Linked DNA regions of Drosophila melanogaster. Changing the gene in region 1 together with any one later gene gives a genetic interaction. Each region holds a gene or a part of one and is shown on either strand. Other genes may lie near its edges. The genes, in order: E(spl)mgamma-HLH and Cdk9.

Region 1 (3,336 bases):
AAAAGAAACAACAAAAAAACCGATATCCTGTCCCCGGCTGGAGCTCCTCCATCTTAAAGTTGCCCTAGGGCAAGGCAGTCATTTACCTGATCCGAAGCAATTATGTGCCCATAGCTTACCTTGACCATTGTGCACACGATTTTCTATCCGAGTGGCCAGGGAGAATCACGGCAACAAAAAATTGAGGAGAACAAAGCGAAATCAGGACGGATGCGGGATGAATGATGACTCGATCCCTTTTTTGGTTTTCGGTTTTTTTTTCGGGTTCCTTGCCGGCTCTATGCCCATTTGTTTTCTTCTAAGTCTGAGCGACATTGTCGTAACTCGATTAGATACGCTCAAAGATAAGACTCTAATATTTTCTGTTACCTTCGCTTATTGTCCGCACACGTGTTGGAGTTGCAACCACCAACTGGCCTATAGGCTATGTCCCGGTATCGGTAGCCCCGGCTTTGGACTTTGGACTTCTTTCTTCTCTCGTTCTTCTGCCTAATTCTTCTTGTTTCGGCCTTGGCATTGTTTTCGCTTTCTTTTGTCCGACGATCGTGTATGTGCATCCGTGGGGCGATCGAATAGTTACAGGGGACAGAGAGAGGTGCTATTGCGTTTCTAGCGTTTCCGTTCTAGACCGCAGACAATTGGAAACTGTCTGGACATGGGAGTGTCTGAGCAATTTGCATGTGAGTCACTAGATAGTGGCAGAAAAAGTCGTGATCTTTCAATTTTAGCTATATAATTTATTATTTATTTAGTTATCACATGAACTGCGCGTCCTCATCTAAAGCTTTGTGTGTTTATGGTGTTTACTTATAACTAGGTGGGAGTCGACTGGTGGAAATCCAGTGACTCGGAAGACTTTTACTTTCTATGATCTCTCCTTCGTTTTTTTTTTTTTCAGTTGTGGTGTGAAGTAATCCTATCTACCAGGGACGCCAGACGTTCTCCTCGTCCTCGCTGTCGTCCTCCATCTTGGTCACATCGATGGTGGTCAACAGGGAATGGCTGGTCGAACTGGTATTGGAGTTGGGACTGCCGGCGTAGCTGGAGATTGGCGAAATGGGCACGGAGTAGGCATCCCGATTGGCGATGTGCACGGAGAGTGGAGCGGTCACCGGCAAGACTTCCTTTTCTGCTGGCTGGATCTGATTGAGGCGCTGTCCCAGGTGGGTCATTAGCTGAGTGCCTAGGCTGACATTCATGCCGGGCAGCTGGGAGAGTGAACGGGAGACCTCATTGACGGCATGGATGTAGCCGGAACGGAAGCCCTCCGCCGGAGTCAAGCTCTCATCGCCGGAAGCCCGCTTGTGCTGACGCTGCTGCTTCATCTTTTGCAAATGGGTGACGGTAAGTTCCAGGATATCGGCTTTCTCCAAACGGGTGACGTGCTCGCCCTCGGACTCCAAGGTGGCAACCATAAGATCCTTTAGCTCGTCCAGGCACTTGTTGATTCTGGCACGACGCTTCCTCTCCAGCATGGGCTTCATCACCTTGCGGTACTGATAGGTCTTGGACATCTCGGACATTTGTAGCGACGACATTTTGTGTGTTTCTTATTGTTCTTTTTGTAGTTTCGATGTAAGCTGAGTTCTTTGAGCTCTTGCTGCTCCGACAGTCGAAGTCGTTGTGTGTTGCTAGACCTTCGGTGATCGGCCTTATATAGCTGGCCAGAAACAACCCCCAAAAAATGGGCCAAAGGGATCGTCGTCGTCGTCGTGTGTGCTGGCATTCGAGGAGCAAAAGGGACGGGGACACGCTTCGTGTGCTGGCATGAGGGTTGCTCGGTACCGACCCTTCCGCTTCTTGAGACCGCTCCTTATTGTTCGGGCGATTTCTTATTGTTGGCCCCGGCACCCTTATCAAACGGGCCAGGGAGCAGGATCGCTGCCAGGATCGTGGGAAACACTTTCCTACTCGGTTTCTCACATCGACTCGCTCACCTGCCCGCAAAAAGCAGCCGAGCATGGCCACGGCCATGGGCATGGGAATTTGCAGAGCGAACAGCTGCCGTTTCTAGATTTGTGTGTTATGATTTGACTATGGCATGGCAGGGTGAGGGGCATAAGGATAATGAACTGCTTGCATTATGCCATCTCATCGGGGTCCTCCGGGGTTCCCACGATAGCGGGGACCTCCGCCGGGGGATGGGGATAAGGATAAGGACGAGGCGTTGCGATTCCTCGACAACTTCCTGTTTACCGTTGGCATTCCAAATTGGATCGGGTTCGTGTTTGGTGGCAGAGGAAGGGACAAGGACAGAGGCATCCTGCACTTGTTGGTCGGCTGTTATGATCCTGTGGGAACATTGCTCGTGTGCGTCGAGTGCGCTTAATGCGTGTACGACTTCCCGATCCCCCCGACCCGGCAGGACCTCTGCCTCTCCCTCCATCCGCCATGTAAAAGGGGCCAGCGATGCTGATCCTGGAGCGCTGCTCGCGTGTGGCTCGCTGTGGACACACTTTCGGCTGTAAGTTGCTCGCGTTCCAGGACCTTTGTAATGGATGGATGGTTGGATGGGTGGTGCATTACAGGGATTTGTAAACGGAGTGGGGAGAGTTCAATTGACTTGAATTCAAGTGGACAGTATAACGGTATTTGGTATTTAGAATTATAAATTATTAAAATTCCAAGGAAAATATATATTTTCTATATATTTCAAATTAGATTTTAGAAATATATTTAAATATATCTGATATATCTTTTATATCGAAGAAAGCTAAATAAGAGCTTATAAATTATAATTATAATATAATAATTATATATATTATAACATTTTGTACCTATGTACCTATGGATTATAGCAACCTTGTTTATGTTCATATTCCAAATAATATAAAGCTTTTAAAATTTCAGTTTACGTTCATTTTATTATTCAAATGTTCATGGCTTATACTTAATGGTGTAAAGCGAAAAATATAATTTTAAAACATACACAAAAATTTGTTCTTAATGAGGCTAAGTGGAAGCTCGGTGGGGAAGCTCTTGCAAAGTTGATGAAATAAATTACAATGAATTAAATACATGAATCAGTAAGCCTATGGGAGATCAAATACAAAATACGAACTTAAGAACTATCACAGGAACATCACATCATATCAAATCAACTACCAACTAAATACGATTCTGAGGCAAATGTTTACACTAGACCTTGGAAAACTTGGATTGTTTCTTAATGAAACTGAGTAGTAAAGCTATCAATGTTAATTGGTTGCGTATATATGGAATGCCCTTCACCAGGGGCGCCAGACTTCTTCGCCATGATGAATATCCTCTTCTCGCGGAGACTTTGAACGTTTTTGGTCGGCTAGATTAACTGGTTCTTCGGCCATATCGATGATT
Region 2 (4,388 bases), on another chromosome or scaffold:
CGGTAGTTGCCTTATATAGCTAAGGTAGGCTACAGCTCCCTGTTGTCCAATGGTCGATATATTGTGCATTCCCTCATAGATGAGCTGGGAGTCTTCCAAGCTGGCACAAATAAAAAAACAGTACGATTTGCCCGGCAACATGACCACTTGGATGACTTTTCCACCGGTCGCGGCAGCCTCCGTGAGCAAACACTCCTCCGTGAGTCCATTGCTGAGTCCCACGTTGAGAACCGCCAGGTAAGGGGTGGGTTCAGCGCTTGGAGACACCTCGCAGTCACTTTTGATGATTGCCAGACATCTTCGCTGCTTTTTATCCGCCTTTTTGGCCTTGTTTACCTTTTGCTGTGTTTCCTCAACGTGCATCTCGCGGCCAGTGTGTACACCCCTTTTCAATGTTTTTCTTTTTGTTCTAATACTTAAGTCGATTGTGAATACCCTTTCTTGCAACTTCAAGTAATTGTAGAAACTTTGAATAAAGAATAATAAGAAGCAGAGAAACATAATGTAGGTATATTTGGAGCAAGCGCTAATGCAAATGCCAATATTTTTATTGTACACTAACCTAATAACCTAACGCTAGTTGAAGGTGAGAAACTATTAGTCGGGTGCGTACACCTCTGGCAGTCTACCAAACCCGGTCAATCATACTGTTGTCCTGGGGCTTCTGGTTCATGGTGGTCAGTTGCTGGTGATAGTTGCGCATCTGGTTGCTGCGGCGTGGCTGCGCCAGGTACTCGAACATGCTCTGCAGGTGCTGGGACAGCATCTTGCTCAAGTCGCTGGGCATGGGATCCGTCCAGAAGAAGTCGTGATTCAGAGCTGTGTCCGCATCGATGCGTTTCTTGGGATCAAGGGTCAGCAATTTGTCCAATAGATCACAGCCGGTTTGATCCTTGACATACGGACGCAGGCGCTCCTTGACTCGACGCTTCTGGTTCTTTGGCAGCTCGATGGATTTGTACAGCTCCAGCTCCTCCACTCCCGGCCACACGTCCGGCGTAAAGGAGCCGCATAGCTGCGAGATAAAGGTTAGCTGCTGCTGCTCCGTATTGCCTTGCATGATGGGCGAGCGTGTCCACATCTCGGCCATTATGCAGCCGGCTCCCCACATGTCCACGGGTGGACCATAGTTGCGGTCACCAAGTAGCAGCTCAGGCGGCCGGTACCACAAGGTTACTACGCGATTGGTATAGCGATTCTTACTCTCGTTCTTTGGAATGCTAAAAGCACGGGCCAAGCCAAAGTCAGCCAGCTTTAAGATGCCATGCTTGGTAATCAGCACGTTGGCAGCTTTCATGTCTCGGTGCAGGATCTAGTAATGCAAATGAAAACAGATACATACAATGTAAAACCAAAACTTTGCTTAATGACATGACTCACCTTGTTGCTGTGGATGTAATACAAACCGTTTAAAAGCTGCTGCATAACCTTCTTAATCTCGCCCAGACTGAACTTGACGTTCATGTTGGACAGAAGACCTGCCAAATCGTGTTCGCAGAAATCAAAGACCAAATAGAAGGTGGATCTGTAACCATTCGTGGCGGTGGCCTTGGTGCGGCAGATCTCGATCAGATTCACCACGTTCTCGTGCTTTAGCAGCTGCAGGATGCGGATCTCTCGCAGAGCCGTGATGGGAAACTAGGGGAGCACATATATAAATAAGGAATTCGTCTCTTAAGATGTTGCTTTTCACGCACGCCCTCCTTTTCGTTGTCCATCAGCACCTTCTTCATGGCCACAAACTTCTTGTTGCCCTTTTTCTCGCGAGCCTTAAAAACCTCTCTGTAATCAAAGGGGTCGTATGTTTTAGTTTAAAGTTAGTTTTCACCAATTTGGAGACTTACCCGAAGGTGCCTTGGCCAATTTTCGCCACCTTTTCGTATTTGTTGCTCTCGTCGCAGTAGGGAAAGTCGTAGTCCTCGATGTACTTTTGTTTCTCCATCAGGGACATCGTGCGCGATGAGCTGGAGCCCACGTTGGAGGGCGTCGACCCCGAAGGCTGCTGGAGCATGTGGGACATGTGCGCCATGGTTAAATTTGCCTCTATTTGTACAATTTTCACAATCACAGTTTCGCGAGAAGCCGACAGTCGAAAAGAAAGAAATCGGCAACAATTGGTGTTTCTACAGCTGTTGACTAAAGAAATACCGGTGTGCACACACTGTCAAGGCCTATCGATAAGAAATCGATGGGTCAAACAGCTGGGTAGTAATAACTTTTCGATTGTTGGTATACACTGGCCAAGTGATATAACCTAGCCAAAATTTGTCCAACAAATAAAAGCCGAATTAATGAATAAACTGTTGAATATAGCCCAGGCAGGGCATCGGCAGTTTGTCCGGGAATATGCATTCAAGTCGGACCTGAAAATCAAATGGATGCGCCCCGAGAAGATCGCGTGCTATAAGCCCGAAAAGAGCGGCGATTTAGCCAAGCTGCCTCCTCTGAAAGCCGACGAACTGCTGCCGGAATACAGGGACTGCAAGGAGTTGGATAAGTATGTTGCAGTATTCTCTCAATATAATAGTTTATTTACATCATCTCACCATTTTGTAGAGCCGACGAGTCAGTTAAATCCTTGTTCAAACTGAGCAACAACGCTAGTTACCTGACCACAAAATTCTATCGCGATGAGATGGTCAAGGAGGTGCAAAGACATGCCCAGGATTTCGGCTCAATGGAGGCCAAATGTATGTATCTTTGCAAAGTGCACATATAGCAGTTCCCCCCAAATTTGCCCTTCTTTTAGTGGCAAAAATGACTGCAGTTATCCGCCGCTACCAGGAGCACATGGACAAGCATCCGCGCGACAAGATGATCAAGGTGCGTCTCAAGGAGCTCATCGACAAACGCAAGAAGTTCCTCAAGTACTTGAGACGTTGGGATTATCCCCGCTTCGAGTGGATTCTCGAGAAACTCGACCTGGTGTACAAGCCACCGCCCACACATTTCCACTGGATCACCCGCAAGGAATCCCTCCAAAAGTTGACCGACATATACTGCGAAAACCTAAAGGAAGAGCGGCTAGAGGCTTACCATAAGCAGCTGCAGGCCCAGCAAATACCCTTCCTTGAGGAGGCCATCAAGAAGATGCAGTTCGTGCGGCAGGAACAGATTTCCTGCGATGTCCCCGTGACCGTGACAGAAGAGAAGATCGCCGACTCAAAAAGGCAGCTGGAAATGCTGAAGGAGCTGCAGCAGGCGGAGGCAGCCGCCAGCAGCAAGAAACAAAACGAGGATGGCTTCAATTAGGCCCGATTCTTTAATGTTACGGTGTCTTACAATAAATGTAAATGCTGGTTTTCTTAAATTATATGTTTTATTATACTTTAAGAGTTAGGCTGGACATCGTACCCTATGTCATGATCATCTGAGCGCATACTGGCAAATAAATAAGAAGGCAAGCATGATTGCCTTAGAAAAATGTGTAAAAACAGACGCAATTAAAGAGAAGTTCCTAAAGGGTACGGTTGCAGCTAACGTCTGCCCGACGAGGAGGTTTTCCGCCTGCCGCCGCTGCTGGAGCTACTCGAGCTGCTCGACGAAGAGTCGCTGGAGCTGGACGAACTGGACGACGACGAGGAGGACACGGAAGAGGTAGAGTCGCGTGAGGTACGCTTGCGCTCCTTGTCGCCATTGCCAGTGCCCTCTTTGCTCTTGACATCCGTGGAAGTGACTTCTTCGTCGCCCCAGAGATCGTACTTTGATAGATCCTCGTCGTCTCCCTCGTCGTCGTCCTCATCTTCTTCCTCATCATTCCGCTGCTCATCTCGGCTAGACCTTCTGGGCCTCTTTGAGTCCTCTCTATGCTCGCCGTGCTTTCGCTTCTTGCGACGACCGAACTCATCGTACTCGCTATCCGAATCCTGACGATCCTTGTACTCTACCACGCCGCGATCATTGTATCCACCGCCAAAGCCTTTAAAGAAACTGGTTAAGTGGGTTTTGAAGCAGATCAGGCTTCTACGGACTCACCAGTCCGCTCCTCCACATCCGAGAACTTAGGAGCGTTGCACATATTGCAGGTTTGGCGACGGGCCCAGTTCACATTCGCGCATTTGCTGCACTGCCAGTCCTCGGCGCTGAACAAGCCCCGCGACTTGTCGGCCGCCGCCTTGCCGATCTCGGTGCCCAGCTTTTTCTTGCTTGAGCTGCTGCTACTGCTGCTGCTCCCGTTGCCGCGTTCCCGCTCCCGGTCTCGATCCCTGTCGCGCTCCGGCTTATCACTGCCATCGCGGTCCCGGTCGCATTTGTTGCACTGCAAACGGCGGGCGAAGTTCAGATGGCGACAGCTGCAAAATCGAGGGAAGTGTGAGACTCGCAGGACTTCTCACTTGGCCGCTATCACTGCATCTTTACGGGCACTCACTCGTAATCTGGGCAAATCC

Evidence for each region.
Region 2: of E(spl)mgamma-HLH (region 1) and Cdk9, changing one suppresses a phenotype caused by changing the other (phenotypic suppression), as found in Drosophila melanogaster (one study listed by BioGRID).

What each region holds. Positions count from the first base shown.
Region 1 is NT_033777.3:25,998,145-26,001,480, reverse strand, and holds E(spl)mgamma-HLH (enhancer of split mgamma, helix-loop-helix), read right to left. Parts: upstream 1,631-3,336; 5' UTR 1,539-1,630; coding exon 921-1,538; 3' UTR 720-920; downstream 1-719. Other genes in the region: E(spl)mdelta-HLH (enhancer of split mdelta, helix-loop-helix), read right to left, coding at 3,228-3,336. UniProt on the Drosophila melanogaster protein: Transcriptional repressor of genes that require a bHLH protein for their transcription. May serve as a transcriptional regulator of the Achaete-scute complex (AS-C) genes. Contributes to the neural-epidermal lineage decision during early neurogenesis.
Region 2 is NT_033778.4:22,635,562-22,639,949, forward strand, and holds Cdk9 (Cyclin-dependent kinase 9), read right to left. Parts: upstream 2,167-4,388; 5' UTR 2,030-2,166; coding exon 1,845-2,029; intron 1,783-1,844; coding exon 1,698-1,782; intron 1,639-1,697; coding exon 1,381-1,638; intron 1,313-1,380; coding exon 626-1,312; 3' UTR 502-625; downstream 1-501. Other genes in the region: CG17807 (uncharacterized protein), read right to left, coding at 1-363; bonsai, read left to right, coding at 2,292-2,497, 2,557-2,690, 2,750-3,252; CG3732 (uncharacterized protein), read right to left, coding at 3,477-3,919, 3,976-4,292, 4,370-4,388.